Linked DNA regions of Drosophila melanogaster. Changing the gene in region 1 together with any one later gene gives a genetic interaction. Each region holds a gene or a part of one and is shown on either strand. Other genes may lie near its edges. The genes, in order: Antp, ey, Glut4EF and ph-d.

What was found.
Region 2: of Antp (region 1) and ey, changing one suppresses a phenotype caused by changing the other (phenotypic suppression), as found in Drosophila melanogaster (2 studies listed by BioGRID).
Region 3: of Antp (region 1) and Glut4EF, changing one enhances a phenotype caused by changing the other (phenotypic enhancement), as found in Drosophila melanogaster (one study listed by BioGRID).
Region 4: of Antp (region 1) and ph-d, changing one enhances a phenotype caused by changing the other (phenotypic enhancement), as found in Drosophila melanogaster (one study listed by BioGRID).

Annotation. Positions count from the first base shown.
Region 1 is NT_033777.3:6,996,222-7,001,146, reverse strand, and holds the start of Antp (antennapedia), read left to right. Parts: upstream 1-1,918; 5' UTR 1,919-2,941; intron 2,942-4,925. UniProt on the Drosophila melanogaster protein: Sequence-specific transcription factor which is part of a developmental regulatory system that regulates segmental identity in the mesothorax. Provides cells with specific positional identities on the anterior-posterior axis.
Region 2 is NC_004353.4:702,900-707,687, reverse strand, and holds the start of ey (eyeless), read right to left. Parts: upstream 3,038-4,788; 5' UTR 2,524-3,037; coding exon 2,415-2,523; intron 260-2,414; exon of another isoform or gene 197-259; coding exon 17-196; intron 1-16. UniProt on the Drosophila melanogaster protein: Involved in eye morphogenesis.
Region 3 is NT_033777.3:9,872,689-9,877,701, forward strand, and holds the start of Glut4EF (glucose transporter 4 enhancer factor), read left to right. Parts: upstream 1-1,992; 5' UTR 1,993-2,452; coding exon of another isoform or gene 2,453-2,662; 5' UTR 2,663-2,986; coding exon 2,987-3,535; intron 3,536-4,309; exon of another isoform or gene 4,310-4,503; intron 4,504-5,013. Other genes in the region: CG46467 (uncharacterized protein), read left to right, coding at 2,453-2,662.
Region 4 is NC_004354.4:2,115,759-2,123,367, reverse strand, and holds the start of ph-d (polyhomeotic distal), read left to right. Parts: upstream 1-1,575; 5' UTR 1,576-1,643; coding exon 1,644-1,681; intron 1,682-1,743; coding exon 1,744-3,305; intron 3,306-3,366; coding exon 3,367-3,817; intron 3,818-3,876; coding exon 3,877-5,687; intron 5,688-5,750; coding exon 5,751-6,502; 3' UTR 6,503-7,609.

The DNA.
Region 1 (4,925 bases):
AAAAAAGAGCAGTGCGGCGCGCTCACGACACACATAAAGCAAAATAATGGCACATTCGTCACACTTAACGCGGCCGCATCTGGCCGTCTCGCTCGCACCCGCGTCTGCCCCTCTCGCTCGCACTCTCGCTCTCTGCCTGCGCCGCCATCCATCTTGTGCGTTTGTGTGCCGCGCTTGTGTGTGTGCGGTCTCTGAGAATGCTTTATGAGTGTGCGTCTGTGGCGGACTCCTCCCTGTTTACGACGCTGGCAGCGCCGCAAGCAGAAGCAGCGGCTGCAAAAATTCGGCCAACTTGTGTTGTTGTTCTTTTTCCGCTCCACAACAGCTGTGGGAGAGCGAGAGCGTAGGAGAAAGAGAGAGAGTGAGAGCGATGCTGAATTGTGATTGTGTGCGTGTGAGTGATGGCCTGCATGTGTGCGTGCATGTGATTTGTTGTTGGCGCGCTTCGATATAAACTCGGCCATGATGGTTTTGCCGTCGGCAAGTGGATGTTTGGATGCCATACTCCCCGGTTCCAAGTACCGTATTCCGGGTTCCATAATTCACGGCGGCCATCATTCTCCCGATTATCGAATGTTAGCCGATAATGAGATATCAAAACGTCTAGATATGACTTCATCGGGCAAATCACATTTGCTATACAAAACTGTTAATTATGTATGGTTGTGGTATATTTACAAAAATAATTATTAAAAGATACGTTTATACGTTTATATACCATATCTATAAGCGTTAATTAAGAACATCTAAAAAAGATAAAAAATCGAGACAATCGAAATCAAAAACGTTTTTTACTCTTATAAGTACTTAAGCAGCATAACAATTTACAATTATTTTACATAATAGGCAAACAGAAACTTTCGACCTTTCCATTGCAAAACCCTATTTTAGATTATTTTCACTGGTAAAATAAATAAATAAATGAGTTTGTAAATTAATGATTCAGTCTGAAGTAATCGACGGATTGATACTTTAAAAACTAAAAAGTCAACACAAGGCCTTTAGAGAACCGTATTTGTAAATTGTACAATTATTTTAATTGATTTTATAGAAGGTGGTCTCCCACAAAATGGTAGATTTGACCGCAAAAATTTAAAAACAAGTAAACTGAAGATGTACACATCTTTCACATCGTTACGCTATTTTAAGAAATTAAAAGCAAATGAATTGATTGACCATATAGTCCAGAAGAATGGTTAAAAAGGTATAAAGATATTAAGTTATAAAGATATAGTAATCGCTCTTCGAAATAAAAGTAGAAACTACTCGATAATGCCCAGACAATCGAATTTTAAATAGTTTCGATTTTAGAGAAACTGAAAAGAGCACTTAAGAGAAAGAAACTTAAAATTGAACCTTGCAAAAAATTGTATTTAATAAACCAAAATGAATGAAACAAATTTCTTAAAAACCTAATAAAAAAGTGAAATCAAATATACCAACCAAAATAAATCTGGGAACTGAATAATCGAAAATAACTGGATGTGCATCATAAGATCTTCTTTTGAAGACTGACTACAGTTTGCAGCTCAGCGAGCTCGGGCCGGCAACTCAAGCCGGTCAACTCAAGTCAGGCGCCAATTCGCTGCTCCCACTCGCTCAGCTCTCTCAGTCACTCAAAATGGCAACGAGAGCAGAACGGTTCTTTTGCAAAATACTTTATGACCGGAGCAGAAGCAGAATCGGACCTCTGTCGCGGTCGCAGTCGCTGCCAGTGCTGACGGCGCTGTTGCGGCCGACGCTGACGCACATAAATAAAACGCTCTCTTTCGCTCACGAGTTTCTTATAAGACTTTATTTATATACTGCGCTGCCACCGCTGACTGCGCGCCGCCGCCGCCGACTGCGCTGGATTAATAAGGAGTTCTCGCTGGGATTTTCACATGTATATGCTTTGAATTGAATGCTTTATGGGTTTAGTTTGATAGGAGTCGTAAAGAAATCAACATCACACAACAAAGCACTCGAGGACCCGTCCGTGTTCCGTTGACTTAGCCCACGTGCGACTGTATGTGTGTGTGTGCGAGAGGGATCCCAGCAGCATAACGGTATTCGGTGCCCCGTATTCCGTAGTCGCTATAGCGGCCAATATCTTGGGGCTGGGCTCTCGGAGCTGAACTGAACTGAACTAAACTGAACTGAACTATTCGCATTCGTATTCGCTCGCTCTCCGTCGTCGCGACCGCTCTCTTATCCCAATTGTCAGCCCGCTAAGATCATAAAGGCCGTAAAAATAATCATAACAATAATCGTAAAAAATTAGAACCGCAATCAGTCGCACACTGTCCATCGCATGGCGCAGATCGTCATAAACCCATTATTATAATAATAACCGTAATCGTAACCGTAATCGTAATTGTAATCGCAGGCGCCATCGCATAAACAGCAAACAAAAACACCGTCAGAGAAATTGGAATTGAACTTCGCGCGCGTTTCTTTTTATGATGTTCGAGTGTCTGGCAGGTGTCTGGATTCAAATTAAAATTCATCCACATATTGTGCAATACTACTAATGGATCTGGGCTGACTGTGCTGCAAATGAGCTAGAGTTCAAATTTATCAAGCCAAATCCTACTACCTAAGTGTTTATCTATTCTTAAAAACGCATCGTGCACCGAAAACTCGAATCTGTACAACAACGTTTTCTAGTCCCCCGTAAATCGAGCAATATCTACACACTAGCAACAAACAAAAGCTGAAGCTTTCAACTCAAACCACAACAAATTCAACAGAAATAAAACGTAGACAGCCAAAATAACACAAAAAAAAAATAAATAATAAAAAACAAAATACATAAAACGGAAAAGAATAAGGAGCGGAAAAAGTTTCGATTCCACTGCGGGCAAACTTTTTATTTTGGCGCACGTGCAAGCTACCGTTAGCTGAGAATTCCAAAAGCCAGCAGGATTGAAGGATAAGCGCACGTTATTGGATTTAAGAGGTAAGTGCCAGGGCTCGACTTTTCAATTTCCTCACCTTCTTCACTGAAATCAAAATGGTTATATGTTTCTTTTATTGGCCAATTGGGATTAAAATGTCTTTATTCACAAAAATGGTTAATGCGTTTTGAAAACAATGCTTAAATTGATTATAATTATATTTTACTACAAATTTTATGTTATTTCTGCCTATCCAAACTATTTCAAATATTCAATTTAATAATAATCGTAACTGAAAGTGAAGAAAAAATCTTAACTTTAAATTGTAGTAAAAAATCAATATTGTTAAATAATTGCAAAGGTAATTGTACATGTAATGTAATGTCATCTATGCATACCGTCAAAGAATTATTCGATTGTCACTAAAAATTATATATAATTTTTAAACAAAAATGATTGTGAGGTTCTCTTAACATTATTTTTGAAAAAATGGTTGACATAAGTATATTATGTTACTATTAGCTGTCCATTAAATGTTTGAATAAAATCAATCATTTCAATGAAGCTTACATGGATTAGAATATCAGTCTATGTATATGCCGACGGAAACTTTATACATTTCCAAATACTTGTCTAAATATGTGGAAGTTTTGACATTAATGACTCTGTACAAAGAATAGCGCATCTGTTTCTCGATGTGCAGTGGGCAAGGTATAAGTTTTTTGCCCGAACTCAGATTCAACACTTCATAACTCAAAGGGCGTTTTTCGGAAGCTACAGCCAGGTCATCACTCATTTGGCCTGCAAACTGCAAACTGTTGACAGGCTTATTAGCCATTTGCATAAATTTGCAAAGTGGGAGGAGGGGTGGTGGGATGCTTTCAGGAATCCCGGGAGTTGAAGCTGGAAAACTGAAAACGGAGCTCCGAACTTAACTGGCCACGAGTAATGGGCTCTTTGAACTTGGAATTCGTTTTTGAATTATTGCGCATATCCTGGGCAACATAGTTTCACTTCCGAATGGTGGGAAAGGGCAGCCATTTCTCTCTCAGACACACACGCAAACACATTCATACACACACACACACACACGCACATAGTTGGACGAACAGGACACTCTCGGGTTCTCCGCATAGAAAATTTATGCGGCCATTGTTGCAGTGCATTGTCCTTGTTGTTGCTGATTTTGTTGTTGTCCTAGTTGTCTGGCCTTTGCATATTTGTCGTCCTCTCTGTCTGTCGCTCGCTACCTTTTACCTTTCTCTCTTTCTCCATTCCCGCTCTCTCATTGCACTTGCGCCCCACAGAGGTGCGGAATTTATTCGTAATTTAATAAACATTTAAAAATCTGTTCCATAATTTGGAAAGTATCTCTAGCGATCTGTCCAAAAGGGCTTTAATGAACTTATCCTGGCTTTTACTTTCAGCCTGCTTATCGTTAACACATTTCCATTTGCATTTTTGCCAGCTTCGATTTTTGCAAAATCAAATAGATGGCATCAAATGAAATTATTTTCTCATAATTTATTGATTTTATCAGCTGGAAATGTTACACAGCTGACAAAATCATAAACTCCGTTCTGTTTGCCCGGCAAAAACTTTTATGATTTATGGCCGAGTGACAGACAGAAAAAACACCGATGCAATTGGGAGAAATGGGGGGAAAATATTCAAAATTTGTATGAAAACGCACATTTCCCTAGACTATTTTTGTTTAAGTCCTACAATTCTTTACTAACATATTTAGACCCTTATACATGAGCAACCACTTCCTTTTAAACGGATTCTTAATCAAGTTCACACTCATGGCAAAGCAGCAAAAAGATTTATACATCAGCACACCAATGGCGACAACTCTTTTGTAAAAACATTAATCACGACCTCTGAGATTCGGCCGAAAGCCCAAAACTTAGCAACAAAAGTAAACGAAATTGTTGTTAATAAAACGAATCCAACAAAAAGCTTCAACGAAAACAGCCGACCACCACAAAGAAAACTTGTTTGACTTGCCTTTGAAATTAAAATTATATTTAAGCCCCCATTGAT
Region 2 (4,788 bases), on another chromosome or scaffold:
ATTTATTAAAACGTACATTCATCATCGGTTAAATGGTAGTAAGTTGTGGCGAAGTATGAAGATGTCGAATGGGGATGTGACGCTGTGCTGGCTTCCACGGCTTCCATAGTAGGGGAAGGTTTCCCAGCAATACCGCCTAGTCCGCTACCACCAGCGGTACCCAAACAGGGTAAATTTCTCATTGCAATCACATTGTCTATAAAAAAGAAAATCAAAGGAGTAAAATTCGTATCAAGAAGTCAGTTTGTACTTGGAATTCATTTATAATAATAGTGGAATAGATCTTTAAATTTGAACCAACTTTGAACTTGCTTAAGTGTTTATAAAAATGTAACATATTTTAAGTACTAGTACTTGTAGAGTAAAAGGGTATACTAGATTCGTTCAAAAGTGTGTAACAGGTAGAAGGAAGCGTTTCGACCACATAAAGTATATATATTTTTGATCAGGATCAAAGCTAAGTCATTCTGGCCATGTCCGTCCGTATGAACGTCCAGATCTCATACAGAGGCATACAGAATACAGAATACCCACTCAAACGCACTAAAACCGCCCTAAACTGCCACACCCACACTTTCAAACCATTTTTAAATATTTTCTCATTTTATTCCCGCATATATATTTGCATTCCGTTTGCATTCCCACTAGCGAAGTGAAGGGTATCTGATAGTCGGAACTCGACTAAAGCATTCTCTTTTGTTTTATTTATTCTCTTTGTAATCTATCTATAATCTGAAATCTACTGCAAAAGTTGCCGAACACTCTGCAGATTTTTTGTCCTAGTCTCTAAAGAACATGCATTATTAAACACTCTGAATTCGGGAACTAAAATACTGCAAATTTTAAATTAGACCTGTGTTTGATCGAGAAACTCTACTATAACATTTTCTCTTATTTCAGTTAAGAAGTTGAGCCAGATTGCATAGGAATTAGAATTATTTCATTACATTGTTAGTTACATATTTTCTTACATATATCAGTTATATGTATTAATTAAATTCGGTATACTCTACTTTTTTTGGCAATATAAAATTTCAGGTCATAGTTCGATTCGAATTATTTTTTGTAATATATTATACCTGCAACGAATTGAAAAATCAGGATTACCTAATTGTTTTAATTAAACTGAAACCCAAAAACATAAGCTATGTATTTGGGTTATCATTTTATTGCGAGATAAAAGTGCAAAAAAATGTATTAAAAGTAATCAAACTAATTTCGATTTCAGCAGTAAGCCGCATAGTTTTAAACCTTGCAGGAAAAGACTTCGCAACTTGCGTGCAGAAGGTAGTCGTGAAGAATACAAACGGATAAATCATAGCTAGGTATACAACCAAATGGTTAAAGAATTCAACTAGAATATCACTTTTGACCTAAGCTATTACTTAAAAGAACTAGTTTAAAAAGTTCCCAGTATGAACGAATATATACCATAGACTACTTGGGCCGTTTATGGGGCTTTTAGAAGGAGGCGCTTAATCTTTTTCAGTTAGCGTTATGAGCTAAAACAGGAGAAAGAGAGCTATAGTCCGGTTTATTGACTATCAAATACCCGTAATTGGGCTGCATGTGTGAACGAGAAATTGCAATCTTTTGGCTCTTATAGTTCCTAAGAACTCGACGTCCATGCAGACGGACATGGCTAGACGGACATGGCTAGATTGACCGATTGACCATGATCAAGAATATATATACTTTAAATTTAAAAAATCTAATAACCCTTTAATCTATGAGTAACGAGTATACAAATTTGTATAAAACGAAAGAGTCAGCTAGTATGAAGTACTCAATAATCATATACGCGCGGGATAGCATGAGATACGCCCGTAGGAACGCCATTGATCATTAAACGCCTTTGCGTTGTAATTTACAATGTGAGTGAGTGACAATGGTTTAATATAAAATTAAGCTGCGTATGCATTACTGGAATTTGCATAATTCCTACTTATTTCGCTTCCAAAGGTCTCGACGTCAATACTGACGGACAGACATGCCAACGGTCATCGGAAAATCGACTAGCCGGGAACTCTTCCTTCCACTAACTACTTTAAATACAAATTAGCAACAAGCTACGGGTATAATACAAATATAGGTTTTTCGAATTATAAGAGTCACGGCGAAGATTTGAATATCTTTGATTTGGACAATTTATACGGAGTATAAAGCCGTCTTACTCTCGGGAGTTTGAGTTTGAGAGAAGAGTTCGCAAACGATTCAGTTCAGAAGCTTTTTATCTATTGGTAAACTGCGCCAAAAGAGACCAACAGCCGAACGAAACTGCACTCGCCTAGTAGGACCGGATCAACTGCCCATGGGCAGCATTAACATATGTGTTGGCTAAGACTCATATATATTTATAAGAGGGTCGGATAAAGACGATGATGCCAATCAAGAAATTTAAAAAATTCACTTACCCTTGTGAGCCATGTCTTCTAAAGACGGCAGGCGCTCTATCAATGTTCCCGCTGACCATGGGGGAACCACGGTGCCTATAGCAGTTGGAGTTGGTTGCAATGTAAACATAGTTGGATCTCAGTTTTTATTACATGCACTGCTCATGAAAGCTTTAGCCAAGAGACTGCTGTGTTCAGCCAAACGCACGCCGTGCGAACTCTTGCAGGGCGAGTCAAGCAAGAGTTAAGAGTAAATTTGCGCAGATGGTGAGAATGACGTCCTGCAGTGATCAAAAAACCTATTGTTGATCGCGCCGTGAGGACCTAAGAGTTACGAATTCGGAAACACAAATATAACTGAGCAGCCGCTTTTGTTTTAGTTCACTTGTTCATTTTTCGAACGCCACTTTTGATTGCACTCATGTTAGCATCATATTTGTACTGCACGTAACACGTATTATTCCCGGGTCTACCGATTGCTAACTTAGCCGGTAATTTCATTTGATATAAAGATTAATACGCACGGTGAATCGAACAACCTTTCTTAAACTTCGCGACACGGCGGCGGAACAGTATTTACCTTAGAAGCGCAACACGAAATAATAATGTCACGACCTGCCTACCCGGATCCGTTTCAGAAACAGACTAGGCCGACCCTCGGCTGGCCAGCACCCCCCTGCGCAAAAGGCTGGGTTTGTTGCCACGGAACCGCGTGCGATTGGCAAAGACCAGCATGGCTGGTCCACTCACCACCATTTGCTATAGGCTAGCCCCATGATTGGTTGTTGAAGCACACCAGTTGTCCCTCTCGCACCCGTGTAAGGTTAGTTGGCGGAAGATGAAAGCGATTCGGCACGGTGCAGTTCTGCAGCTGCGTTGTGTCGTTAAGCATATCGTGGCAACGGAATCTGAAAATAAAGGAAGAACCAACTCTAGACGGACCAGCAGCACATAATGGAATGGTTTGGTCCTGAACAGACATGAAAGTGCTGGTCTGGAACTGGATGTTGTTCCTTCCAGCAAGAAACTGTGTGTAAACGGTGCAGCGCCTGCCGCTTTCACCGCCTTTCGAGAAGTCGCCCAGTGCCACACCCCCCCCCCCCCCAGCAATTACACACATGTTGCATTCCATTTGAATTCAAGCTGGCCAGACAAGTTGCCAGCAGCACACTCGTCCAATGGAATTGTTTCATTCCGATACAATAAGCGCTTCACATTTCCGTTAACTACCCGCACGTTTCCGCTTCGGCAGTGCGAGCCTACACACACAGCCATATCGAGGGGAGCTGGGTGTGGGCGTACGGTTGTTTAGTAAAATGTCGACAAGCCTAAGCACGGTCACACCCACCAGCCACCATCCCATAAGCTGTCGTCACATGTGGAGGCTGGGTGGGCCCCAAAGAGGAAGTTCCTGTCCTGCTTTTGCGCCGCACAGCGAGAGAACGAGTTGCCAATAGCCTGAAAGGGACGGCCAGTGTTATGGCTAAAAGGCCATGTTTCAAAATCCTCTAGAGAAATATTAAAAAACTATAGCGCACCTACACGACTGTATGGGATAATGTCGATTTAAGTGCAATTCACAAAATTCAACAGCAATATCCGGCCAATTTTTCTGTTTCCAATACAATTGGGCTCTCCAATGCGAAGAGTTCTTCTCACACGGTTTATAACGTCCTTATGACTTCTGAAAAGTGAAATGTAATAATAATGCATATTACTTCTAAGTCACTTCCAGAATGTTTTTAATGTACCCTTGCAATAGTTCTACATTGTATTTATAATATTTAATTTTGTTCTGTCGAAATTTGTAGCAAATCTGAAAGAATTGGGGTTGAAATATTTGACATATTTTAAAAACATTAGCAATCACTAAACAATTTAACCAAGCCCGTTGACATTTTTATGAATAAAATGCACGCACGATCGATATCTGAATATATGTGAGAATGTTAGGCGCGCAACTGTTCTAAATACTTAACTTACTGGGCGTTTCATTGACTATAAAATGTTTGAACTTACTTTCGCACATGTAATTTTTATTATTACAGGTAAGACTGAATCATTTTCATTTGATCCGATTGCCATATCCCTTTATAATATTCAAGATTTAATATGCACAGATTACATCATAAAACGCCTAAAGGTGGAGGAAACAAATGTTTTTATTAGGCTACATGGTAGCACATGAAAGTATGTCCCCCGCAGGAAGCTGAATCAGCCCTGCTATCATCATATTATCTTCGCACTGGTGCTGAGGATGGAACGCAGCCCAAGCAATCGCCACGTGGCACGTGCCAACGACACGGCACATGCTCGTGGAGCAAAAAGTTGTTCCGTTTCGGCTTAGTCTGCTTCAGATGCAGACCGCCTCCGAGGGTTTCGACACCCATATATT
Region 3 (5,013 bases), 2.9 Mb from region 1:
CTGCGGAATTTCCACTGGAGAAATGATTAATTGAATTTACCAGATAGTTAATCTTTGCACTTGGCCGCCACTCCTCTTCATCTGCTGCTTCTTTTTCTTCAATTCCGTCCGAAATGGGGAAGAAATCAGCAATCATCGCTTACCCATATCAAATATCAAAGTGCCATTTGAACTTTTGTAGCTAAAACCACATAGGATTGAAATTTTCCAATAGCATACCAGTAAAATCCATCTTACGTTTTATCAACTACCGTTTATATTGGCACCCTGCGCATAATTATGTATTTAAAGGTGATGGAGCTTTATGTTCTGTGTATTTCAATGTAGATAAGACCTACATAAGTTTTCCCTTCGGCTGTAATCAGTAGAATTTTCGACTAGATAAGGGCGGCAAGCAATATTTCCGCACTATCTCGCAAGGTCTTCCGTCCGTCAGTCTGTCCGTCCTCCATTTTTTGACTTTTATTTCGGATTTTGGTTAAATGGAGTGGGAAATACGCAGTGCATTTTTCTCGATTTCCCCCACTCCGTTCGCAAATGACGTCTTCAATAATGCTGGCGGCATGAAAATCCACAGAAAATCCACCCCGAGAATGCGAAGCGGAAAACGCAGGAACGTAGAAACTCCAGAACAATAACTACGCAAATCTAGGCCCCGTGGCGTTCTGAATCTTTCATGGATGTGTTGGTTATTGGAGTTGAAGATTGAGACGCCCATCCCCGCAATAAACGAACCCCGCCCCCTTTCTGACTCCATCCACCGCCCTTCGACACTTGCTGACGTTGCCGGAGAATGCCTACAGAGGTCATTCCAAAGGCAACAACAATGCTCGCCCCGCAGAGAGCCCAAAAATACCAGAAAACCTCGAAACACATATATCCACATCCATCGGCAGCAACAGCAACATATTCACATCTACAGCGCCAGCATGGAATTGATGTAAACAAAATCGAATGGATTTGAAAGCACATAACAGCTGTGAGTCGCTCTCCCCCGCGCTCACACACAGTTGGGAAACAGTCACGCACACAGACGCGCACAGGCAAAACAGCGCTCTCTTTAACTGTTAAATTCTGTGACGTTATTGCTGCGAACCGGCCGGCATTATGGTGCTCTTTACAGAGCACTTGCGACTTTATTTACAGGTAGTCACAACACAATACTTCTGTCGAAATAAAGAAAAATTCTGTTTGTGTGTTTAAGCAATTTTATGAATTTTATTTTCAGCAATATTGAAGAGGGCTTTTAAAAGGAACACGTTTTGAGGCCATCGCCTTAGGGTAGGCAATAGGCTGTTTGGTGATCGAGCGGATCCTTGAAGTATGAAATTCTTCAGCAGGGATCCATTCAGATTTGAAGAGGATCCAAAAAAAGCGTTGGCCAACTTCGTTTCCGCTCTTTCTCTCTCGTTTGTTTTGAGACTGATGTTCGCTGTTCAACAGCTGTTTTCGCAACATTGTTGCTGCGTCGCCTCCAACAGCTGTTATCGCTCTGTTGTTGTTGATAAACCAGAGCGAGTCGCACTCACACACGCACATTTATGATGCGCGTATGCGTGACAAGTGCTCTGTAGATTTGGTTTTGTTTTTTTAACTGCGTAGTATTTTATGCTGCTCTTTTTTTCAATGCTGCCCCCGTGTTTTATGCTCTATCCATCCAGTGATGGCGTCATAGTTATATTGTTGATTAGCTACTGCGCACTTAGATAGCATAAATATATGATTTTCCACTTCTTTGGGTGTTCTGTTAGTCGTGGAAATTGCAGTTTCCCTCTAACATTTTTATGCTGCGGGAAGGCCTCACACTCGCACACAAACACACATGTGTCTTATTTGGCTTTTCCAAACGCAGGTAGATGCCTTACATGCATATATACATACACAAAAACAAGAGAGAGAGAGTCGGAGAGGGAGAGCGCGTCGGTGTGTGTGTGTGTGTGTGTGGGTAACTGTAACTGGCCGTTTGCTTTTCGTTTCGTTTTTCGTGCGCTCAGTCTCTGATAGCCAACTCTCGGAAGCAGACCGATAAGCGCTTTTCGGGCAATTCCGCCAAACCAAAACAACTGAAAAATACCCAACAGCCAAGTGAAAAGCCAAGCAAACTAAGTTGTAGCCAAAAACCCAAGACAAACGGGCCCTCTTCTGGTGTTCCGTTTAGTTTTTTTGGGCAATTTTGAAGCAAAATAGCCGCATTCACAAAGCGAAACGCAAAAAACCTAAAAGTCAAAACAAATCAGTGCAGCAGCCGCCAATTGCATCGCATATTGCTCTCTGTGTTGTGTCAGTGTGTTGTGTGTATAAGTGTGCGTGTGTGTGTGAGTGCTGGTAAGAAAACTGAGAGAAAAGTGAAAAGTAACGACCGGCAAAAGCGCGAAAAACGAAAAACAAAAAAAACTTTCCCCGCAGGAAACTCGAACTGCAAGCTGACGTTACAAGCGGTCAAAATTGGATTATGCTTAGGCACAAACGCAACTGCCACGCCATTCAGACGCCCAGCGACGCCGAGCATGTGAAGTTAAAGCCGCATTTTCATCCGCCCCAGTGGCTCCTGCACCGCGTCACCTTCTCTTTGGAGCTGTATCACAAGAATATCATCAAGAAACTGCCCAGTCTTGGCCAATTTCACGTTTACCGGCTGACCAAGAACGTCTGCCAGACTTAAGTAATACCCATAACAAATATCCCCATATAGTCCGCAATAAACTCCACAAAAAAGACAAAGTGCGTTTAATAACCATTACAAAAAAAGTGTAACTGATTGGGAAGAAGTGTGCAACAAATATCCACAAAATCAAATACTCAAGTGCAATAAAAAAAGTAAAAGTGATTAAAGTGCGAAAAGAAAATGTGGCCAACCATTAAGGCCAAGATCAAGTTCTAAGTTCAAATAAACAGACGTAAAAAAAGACTAGAAAATCTAGCGTGTTTTAAAGCGCTGGAAACTAAAATAACCCCCCCTGAAAGTAGTATAACCGAACGTACAAAAATGTCCACCGGCCGCCGTTTGGCCAAGCGCTCCATCATCGGCACCAAGGTGTGCGCCAAGGGTCCGGATGGCCTCTGGTACTCCGGCACCATATCCGACGTGAAAACGCCGCCCTCGTACAGCGGACCGCTCTCGCCGCCGCCGCCGCCCACTTTTGTGGTGCCCGGCGAGGCACCGATTAATGCCGATACGCGCTACCTGGTCCGTTTCGATTTCAAGACCGCCGTCGAGTCCCCAACCGCTACCACGTCGTCCGCGGCCTCGACCTCGTCCACATCCTCCACAGATCCGTCGGTCATCGTGGAAACGCGTCGCGCTGCCAACGTACACATCAGTCCCGCTCAGGCACTGCGTCGCAGCGCCATGATCAAGGAGTTCCGCGAGTCGGATCTTATTGGACCCGGATTCCGGTCCATCATGGACACCGAACTGCAGCCTGGCCAGCGGGTCTACTTCACCTACAATGGACGCGAGCAGAGCGGCGATGTCGTCAAACACGACGCTACCAAGGATGAGGTGATTGTCAAGATCACAACAGTTGGAAATGAGGTGAGTGGGCACATCCTTTACGAATGTATATTATCTAGAAAATTGGGTATGGGTATTTTCAACCTTCGAGAAACTCTTCTTGAATGAAGGCGGAGGATATAGCAAATCCAAGCGGGAGTTTCTGCATCCTTTAGATACTTTTTCATTTTGGGGGGTTGACCACTGCAGCTGAGAAAGGCTGCTGGCTGTGCTGTCGACGTCTTCATCATCGCCAGCATCATCATCATCACCATCACCATCCACATCATGATGAGCATCATCAGCTTTGTGGGGCGGCGAAAAGTGTGTCAAGGTTGGCTTGGCCGCACCACAGCATGCCCCTCCCCTTTTTTGGGGGCGGCAGCAGCATACACATGCACATAGACAGATGTACATACATACATATGTATCTATGCGCCTATGTAATGGGTTATTCAGAGCATATATTTACTTGCACCCCAGTGTACAGTACTGTACGATATACAACTGTGCAACTATGCAACGAATAAAAAAAGAGAAAAGCACAAAAAATACTTGTCGAGGGTCGCATTCCGCTTTTTGGCACGTAATTGGGTTACGCTCTGGGTTGGCCTTCTTGCTCGTGCGTTTCGATATAGAGAACCCCTCTCGCTTGAGGGCCAGTTCGAGCCCCCGAGATTAGATTGACCAGAAGCTAAAGCGACTTCAGATTTAATTACGTATCTTCGATGCACAGCGAAAGCGGGAAATGTGTGGCACTTTTATGTTGCATCTGATTCCCAACGAGCCTTTTTTGATCCCATGCTAAAATAGAATACGAAATTCCGTATTCCATATATCTCTCCAGAAATGCAATCGTTTATAAATTTTATTGCTTAGCTCTTACTACACATCCTATATCGCTCAGTCGTGAGTTTATTCCCCCAATTCGATCCCACACACATGATCTAGCTAATCCTCCAGTCACAGCCCCTTTGCCATTACGTCACTCGAATCGTTGAACTGCTCAACTGCTAAGCAAACACAAAAAAAAGTTAATAAATAAAAGCAGCGAAAAATAATTCAAGAGTGAAACATCATCGGTTGCGGCATTTATAGAATCGCCCCGAATCCGAACGCGCAAACCCAAAAAACAATCTCAATGACGACGATTCTGTTCTGCGGATAAGACGATGATGATGAGATCGTGTCGTAATGAAAATTTGTTTAGAATTCGGTTTCGTGAAAGAATTTCAAGTTAGCAACAAACACCCACAATAAAAACAACAAAAAAAAATGAAAAAGACTAATGTAAAATGGGGGAAACAATTGCAATAAATGCGCTACAAATTCAGGGCTAAATAGAGATACATGGCTTGATGTTTCTACGCTTTACAGCTAATTATATATTGTAGATTAATTCTACGGACTGCGGCCGCGCCTTAGCAACAACAACATCAACCGGCTGATGGAAACGGATAGAGGTACCCAGAACGAGGGAGACAGAGCGCAAAAAGATCAGATGAACTTTTCGAATTGCG
Region 4 (7,609 bases), on another chromosome or scaffold:
TTTGTTTCCGATCCGAGCAAAAGTAGAGTTGTCGCTGTAGCGCGCGGTTCAGTTTGAAACTTAACTTGGCGGCGTGCGGTTCTTGCGCTCTGCTCTCTTTGCGTTCGTGTTGGTGTGGTGTCGATGTGTCGCATACCGCATGTGTATTGAACGGGGGAAAAAAAAAGCGCCGACGCGACGCACACACACCCTACCACCGTTTCGTAGTATTTATTTATATATTTATTTTTGGCGATCAATGCAAATCGGTGCTGACTATAAGTGATTAGTGAAAACAATTAATGCTGTGCGGCGTCTAAAGTTGCGTCGTTTTGAATGTTAGGCATGTACAGGTGCCTCCAAATATACAATAATACAGTACAGCAAGGAAAGCAAAAATGAAAACGGTAAAACATATTTTTTCTGATGAGACGCTGTCGTCGGCGCATGCTCTTTGCCTGTTGTTTGCGCCGCATTGTTGTCATTGCTCCCTGCCTCTTCGTTTTCTCCTTCTCCTCTTCCTCTGTTTCTGCCTCTTGCAACTCAATTTTTGGCTAAGGGAAAAATCAAATAATGATGGCATTATTGTATGCCGCCACACGCACATGCACACACACACATGCACATATCGTGGCGCGGTAGAAAGAAACCAGTCTTTCGGTTGCAAGTTGAAGATGCTGCTGTGCCTAGGTTTATTACCCCCCTTCCAAATCCGTTCCGCTCTTAGCCTGCCGATGGAAATGGAAGCCAAAATCCACCCCCGATACACACCAAATGTAACTGAAACTCCTAACTATTATTGGTGGCGCCGGTTGCTCCTTCCGCTCCTCTGAGCCGCGGCCATTTCTTACTCCTGGACAACTGGCGACAGCATTTTGAGCGCCCAGCTTAGGTCTTTGAACCTGTCCCCTTGGATATCACCATGATGGCTTATAACCATCGCCCAAGGGCCATCCGTAAATAAAAGTGGTCTCCCTTACACCCACTCGAACTTCCTCTCTGCGTAGTAGATGGGAGGAGGTGATGGAGAAGGGGAATATGCAGCAGAGAGCAATCCTACTATAAATAGATGTTTCGGGCACAGGCAACGCTGACAAGTGACCTGCTTTAGGTGTTGGTGTGCATGCACATATGAAAAACAGTGCACTTTTAGTGGGTCACGAATCATGAACAAATTAAAATATTTATTTACCTGTTCCGTAAAAAGTACTGAATACACGGTGGGGCTAGTGTTGTACAAAGTTGTAGCTGCAATCATTTGTAATTTCCCATATAATATGTTGGTGTTTAAGCTTACCACGTCTCACCTAAACAGTATCCACTGTAAGTAAATTACCTCGTGAGTGAACGATCATCCAAAACAAAGTGTATCTCTCGTTCCCTTCTCACATTTTCGTCCCGACTTTGTTTTCGTTTTCGTTTTCTTTGGCGTTTTTGGACCCAGATCGATCCCGTCTTTGTCTTTCTCAATGGTAGTGCGTCCCTGTCGCACCCCCTTCTTTCTTTTTCTGTTCCTCGTCCCCCTTTTCGCGTTGGAGAGCAAGAGAGAGAGTCTTTGGCGGGAGTAACATGCAGTCGCAGTTTGTTGTTGTGCGGTTTGTTCGTCAAGCGCTAAGAGAATATGAATAAGAATATAAATATAAATTTAAACATGAATATGAAGCATGCCCCACGGATTCGGAGCCGCGCCAAGTGTGTCCGTGTTTGTTTGTGTTTAAAGCAATTTACTGATAGTCTGTGTGCGTTTCCTCTTTCTCTTTCCAGCAGTGGGGACACCGAAAGTGAATCAGCAACAACAATACGTACACCACCACCTTCCCCGGAAGCCACCACATCTGTAAAGGTCAACTCCACCACTCGCGTGGACCCCCAGCGGCCACTAAGGTGCCTGGAAACACTCGCCCAGAAGGCAGGCATCAGCTTCGACGAGGACTTTGCCAAGAGTCCATCCCAATCGCCCAGCTCTAAGGCAGCACGTGGGTCAGTCGGAACGCCATCAATCAGACGGCGCCACCCACTACTACCGCTCAGCAGCAGATCGCCAAGCGCACCCGACTCAAAGACAACCGGCCGCAAACTGGAGAAGTCACAGAGTCCAGCTCAACAGGTGGCGGCCGCCACCAATGTGCCGCTGCAGATCTCCCCCGAGCAGCTGCAGCAGTTATATGCAAACAATCCCTACGCCATTCAGGTGAAGCAAGAGTTTCCCACGCACACGACCAGTGGCAGTGGAACTGAACTAAAGCATGCAACCAACATTATGGAAGTTCAGCAGCAGTTGCAGCTGCAGCAGCAGCTGTCGGAAGCCAACGGTGGAGGAGCAGCCTCGGCCGGAGCCGGAGGAGCAGCTAGTCCGGCCAACTCGCAGCAAAGCCAGCAACAGCAGCACTCCACAGCCATCAGCACCATGTCGCCGATGCAATTGGCAGCGGCCACTGGAGGAGTTGGCGGGGATTGGACACAGGGAAGGACGGTGCAGCTAATGCAACCCTCCACCAGTTTCCTGTATCCCCAAATGATTGTGTCGGGAAATCTGTTGCATCCAGGAGGCCTCGGTCAGCAGCCAATCCAGGTGATCACCGCCGGCAAGCCATTCCAAGGCAACGGCCCCCAGATGCTTACCACCACGACTCAAAACGCCAAGCAAATGATCGGTGGCCAAGCGGGATTCGCTGGCGGAAATTACGCGACCTGCATTCCTTCGAACCACAATCAGTCGCCTCAGACGGTGCTCATCTCGCCGGTGAATGTCATCTCCCACTCGCCACAGCAGCAGCAAAACCTTCTGCAATCAATGGCCGCCGCAGCTCAACAACAGCAACTTACCCAACAGCAGCAGCAACAGCTTAACCAGCAGCAACAGCAGCTCAACCAGCAGCAGCAACAGCAACAGCTGACTGCCGCTCTGGCCAAGGTGGGAGTGGATGCGCAGGGCAAGCTGGCCCAGAAAGTGGTTCAGAAGGTGACCACCACCAGCAGCACGGTGCAGGCGGCGACGGGTCCTGGATCTACTGGGTCAACACAGACCCAGCAGGTGCAGCAGGTTCAGCAACAGCAGCAGCAGACCACCCAAACCACTCAGCAGTGCGTGCAGGTTTCACAGTCGACTTTGCCAGTCGGTGTGGGTGGACAGTCTGTTCAGACTGCCCAACTTTTGAACGCTGGCCAAGCGCAACAAATGCAGATCCCTTGGTTCTGGCAGAATGCGGCGGGCCTGCAACCCTTCGGCTCCAATCAGATCATCCTGCGAAACCAGCCAGACGGAACCCAAGGCATGTTCATTCAACAGCAACCGGCGACGCAGACTTTGCAGACCCAGCAAAACCGTAAGAATATTGTCATGTATATTGCATCGGATAGGTACTAAAGTCAACTATCTTCCTACAGAGATTATTCAATGCAACGTGACGCAGACGCCCACTAAGGCACGCACTCAACTGGATGCACTTGCTCCCAAGCAGCAACAGCAGCAGCAGCAGGTTGGCACTACCAACCAGACGCAGCAGCAGCAACTAGCGGTGGCTACTGCCCAGTTGCAGCAACAGCAGCAGCAACTCACTGCAGCCGCTCTGCAGCGACCAGGAGCCCCTGTCATGCCCCACAATGGAACTCAAGTGCGTCCGGCCAGTTCCGTATCCACACAGACTGCCCAGAACCAGAGCCTGCTGAAGGCCAAAATGCGCAACAAGCAGCAGCCGGTGCGCCCCGCTTTAGCCACATTGAAAACCGAAATCGGTCAAGTCGCAGGACAAAATAAGGTAGTAGGCCACCTGACCACCGTGCAGCAGCAGCAACAGGCGACGAATCTCCAGCAGGTGGTTAATGCGGCGGGCAACAAGTGAGTATTGTTTGTTTATTATCTGCCTTGTCACAGTACTTATTTTTGCATCTTTCCAGAATGGTTGTGATGAGCACAACGGGCACTCCGATCACCCTGCAGAATGGACAGACCCTTCATGCAGCCACTGCGGCAGGAGTCGACAAGCAGCAACAGCAGCTACAACTGTTTCAGAAACAGCACATCCTTCAACAACAAATGTTGCAACAGCAAATTGCTGCCATTCAAATGCAGCAGCAGCAAGCGGCTGTTCAGGCCCAGCAACAACAGCAGCAACAGGTCTCTCAGCAGCAGCAGGTTAACGCCCAGCAACAGCAAGCGGTGGCGCAACAACAACAGGCAGTCGCGCAGGCTCAGCAACAGCAGAGGGAGCAACAGCAGCAAGTTGCCCAAGCCCAGGCGCAGCATCAACAGGCTCTCGCGAATGCCACTCAGCAAATCCTTCAGGTGGCGCCAAATCAATTCATCACGTCCCACCAGCAACAGCAGCAGCAGCAACTTCACAACCAACTGATACAGCAGCAGCTACAGCAACAGGCGCAGGCACAAGTTCAAGCCCAAGTGCAGGCTCAAGCGCAACAGCAACAACAGCAGCGAGAGCAGCAGCAGAATATTATCCAGCAGATTGTGGTGCAACAGTCAACTGGAGCGACTTCTCAACAGCAGCAGCAGCAACCGCAACAGCAGTCTGGACAGTTGCAGCTTAGCAGCGTGCCGTTTTCGGTTTCACCATCGATGACGGCGGAAGATATTGCCGGAATAACATCCAGTGCCCTACAAGAAGCTCTCTCGGTGTCTGGCGCCATCTTTCAGACAACCAAACCGATTACTTGCAGTTCCTCTACGCTCCCCACAAGCAGTGTGGTCACAATTACCAGCCAGAGCAGCACTCCTCTGGTCACCAGCAGTACGGTGGCCAGTATGCAGCAGGCTCAGACGCAAGGTACTCAGATCCATCAACATCAGCAGCTAATCAGCGCCACTATTGCCGGAGGGTCTCAACAGCAGCAGCAGCAGCAGCAACTGGGACTACCTTCACTTACACCCACCACGCCCTCACCTACAACAAATCCCATTCTGGCCATGACCTCGATGATGAATGCCACCGTGGGTCACCTATCCACTGCCCCACCCGTTAGTGTTTCTAGCACCGCTGTCACTCCATCGTCTGGACAGCTGGTCACACTAAGCAGTGCTAGTAGCGGTGGAGGAGCAGGCTTTCCAGCCACGCCCACCAAAGAGACACCTTCAAAAGGGCCCACCGCAACCCTGGTGCCCATTGATTCGCCCAAGACTCCTGTATCAGGAAAGGACACCTGCACTACCCCCAAATCATCTACTCCTGCCACTGTTAGCGCATCCGTAGAGGCCAGTAGTTCCACAGGCGAAGCCCTGTCCAATGGAGATGCCTCAGATAGGTCTTCCACGCCGTCAAAGGGCGCTACCACTCCCACCAGCAAGCAAAGCAATGCAGCAGTGCAGCCACCGAGTAGCACCATTCCCAACAGTGTCAGTGGGAAAGAAGAGCCGAAGCTGACAACCTGCGGCAGTTTAACGTCCGCAACATCAACATCAACCACGACAACGATCACCAATGGGATTGGAGTAGCCAGAACGACAGCCAGCACGGCTGTCTCAACCGCTAGCACAACCACTACCAGTTCTGGCACCTTTACCACAAGTTGCACCAGCACAACCACAACCACCACGTCGAGTATCAGTAATGGATCGAAGGATCTCCCCAAGGCGATGATTAAGCCGAACGTCTTAACTCACGTCATCGATGGCTTCATCATCCAGGAGGCCAACGAGCCATTTCCCGTCACCAGACAGCGATATGCAGACAAAGACGTCAGCGATGAGCCGCCAAGTGAGTATAAACTTCTGGTACCAATGCTTTTTCGCAATCTTAACGTGTCATTCCTTCGCGCAGAGAAAAAGGCAACCATGCAGGAGGACATCAAGCTAAGTGGAATAGCATCAGCTCCAGGCTCGGATATGGTTGCTTGCGAGCAGTGTGGAAAGATGGAGCACAAAGCAAAGCTGAAACGGAAGCGCTACTGTTCGCCAGGATGCTCGAGGCAGGCAAAGAACGGCATCGGTGGAGTTGGATCAGGAGAGACGAACGGCCTGGGGACAGGTGGTATAGTTGGGGTGGACGCAATGGCATTGGTGGACAGACTGGATGAAGCCATGGCTGAGGAGAAGATGCAGACAGAATCATACCAGACAGTATCGGACGCTTTGCCAATTCAAGCGGCTACGCCGGAGGTCCCACCGATTTCGATGCCAGTGCTGGCGGCTATGTCGACATCTTCACCACTTTCGTTGCCCCTGACATTGCCCTTGCCAATTGCAATAGCTCCCACTGTGTCACTGCCAGTGGTTTCAGCTGGAGTGGTTGCGCCGGTCCTAGCAATACCATCCTCGAATATAAATGGATCCGATCGCCCTCCCATCAGCAGTTGGAGTGTGGAAGAAGTTAGCAATTTCATCCGAGAACTGCCTGGTTGCCAGGACTACGTGGACGACTTTATACAGCAGGAGATCGACGGCCAAGCGCTGCTGCTGCTCAAAGAAAACCATTTGGTTAACGCCATGGGCATGAAGCTGGGTCCAGCTCTCAAAATTGTGGCCAAGGTGGAGTCCATTAAGGAGGTCCCGCCAGGCGATGTAAAGGATTAAAAACACGCAACAAAGTCAAGGTTTCAAAAGACCGCTTTCTTTAGTTTCCCGCGTTTCACCTAAATGTAACGACATTTACTTCGTGAGCGAATGTGATCAGACAGAACAAAGTGAATCACGTTCCGACTCACCACTTCTCACAGCACGTACACCCTAATCATCAGCTACATGCACCTAATCTACAAAGGGAACTCCCCAGAGAGCAACCGGTGCCTGGAATCACTGACTCTGTTGCGAGGCCCATCCCATCCAGAATCTATGCGAGAAATCCATAATTAGGTGATGTAGTTGTTTTTCCCGCACATGACGAAAGCAAGGAATATGACCCTCCTTCGGCGCCGAAGCTGCAGCTAGTTTAAGCACCCCGATCAGACCCCAAGATTGTGGCAATAGTAGAGTCCATGACTCTGTGCGACGAAAAGGACGGGGAGGTTATAGGACCGCTGGCGCCACCGCCGTTGGATCAACAGTCTTCAGCAGTCTACCAGAGTCTGAGGATAGGAGCGGGCAGTATCCTGAGCTTCTATTTGACCATGCTGATCTCCCACGACCTTTGCATGGACCTTTGCCTACCTGTGGACCGGGTCCAACCGGGTCTGCCACCCAAGCTGAATTTGATTCACTTGAAGCGGACTTTCAATCCTTTTGTACGTAATCTAAACATAGCAAGAGGGGTAATATCGTAGCTCAAATGACAGGACGCCACATGTATGATAGAGCATAGACTGCCATCCCAGTCATCAATTCATCACTTTGTATAGAAGTTCACAATTACTCATAATCACTAACGTATTTATTTGAACGTTGTTAATCATTTCACAACACCCTATGCAAAGAACATGAAAAAATCATTTGAACTAGAGGTAATCTGGGATTATATTTACGTAGTTAGAATTAAAACTTAAGCCTGAAGTAATTCCTAAGTGAAACTGAATTGAATCCAACTAAACCTTTAATTTATTGATAAACTTAGGTCGTAATGAGTAACGTCTGAAGAATTTTTGCCTTTATTGCAAGGTTCCGAAAACGCTGTCCAACTTTTATAGATCAAATCAGTGGTCGGAGTTTAATTTTTTTTTTAGTTTTACGAAACCTTTTTTTCCTACT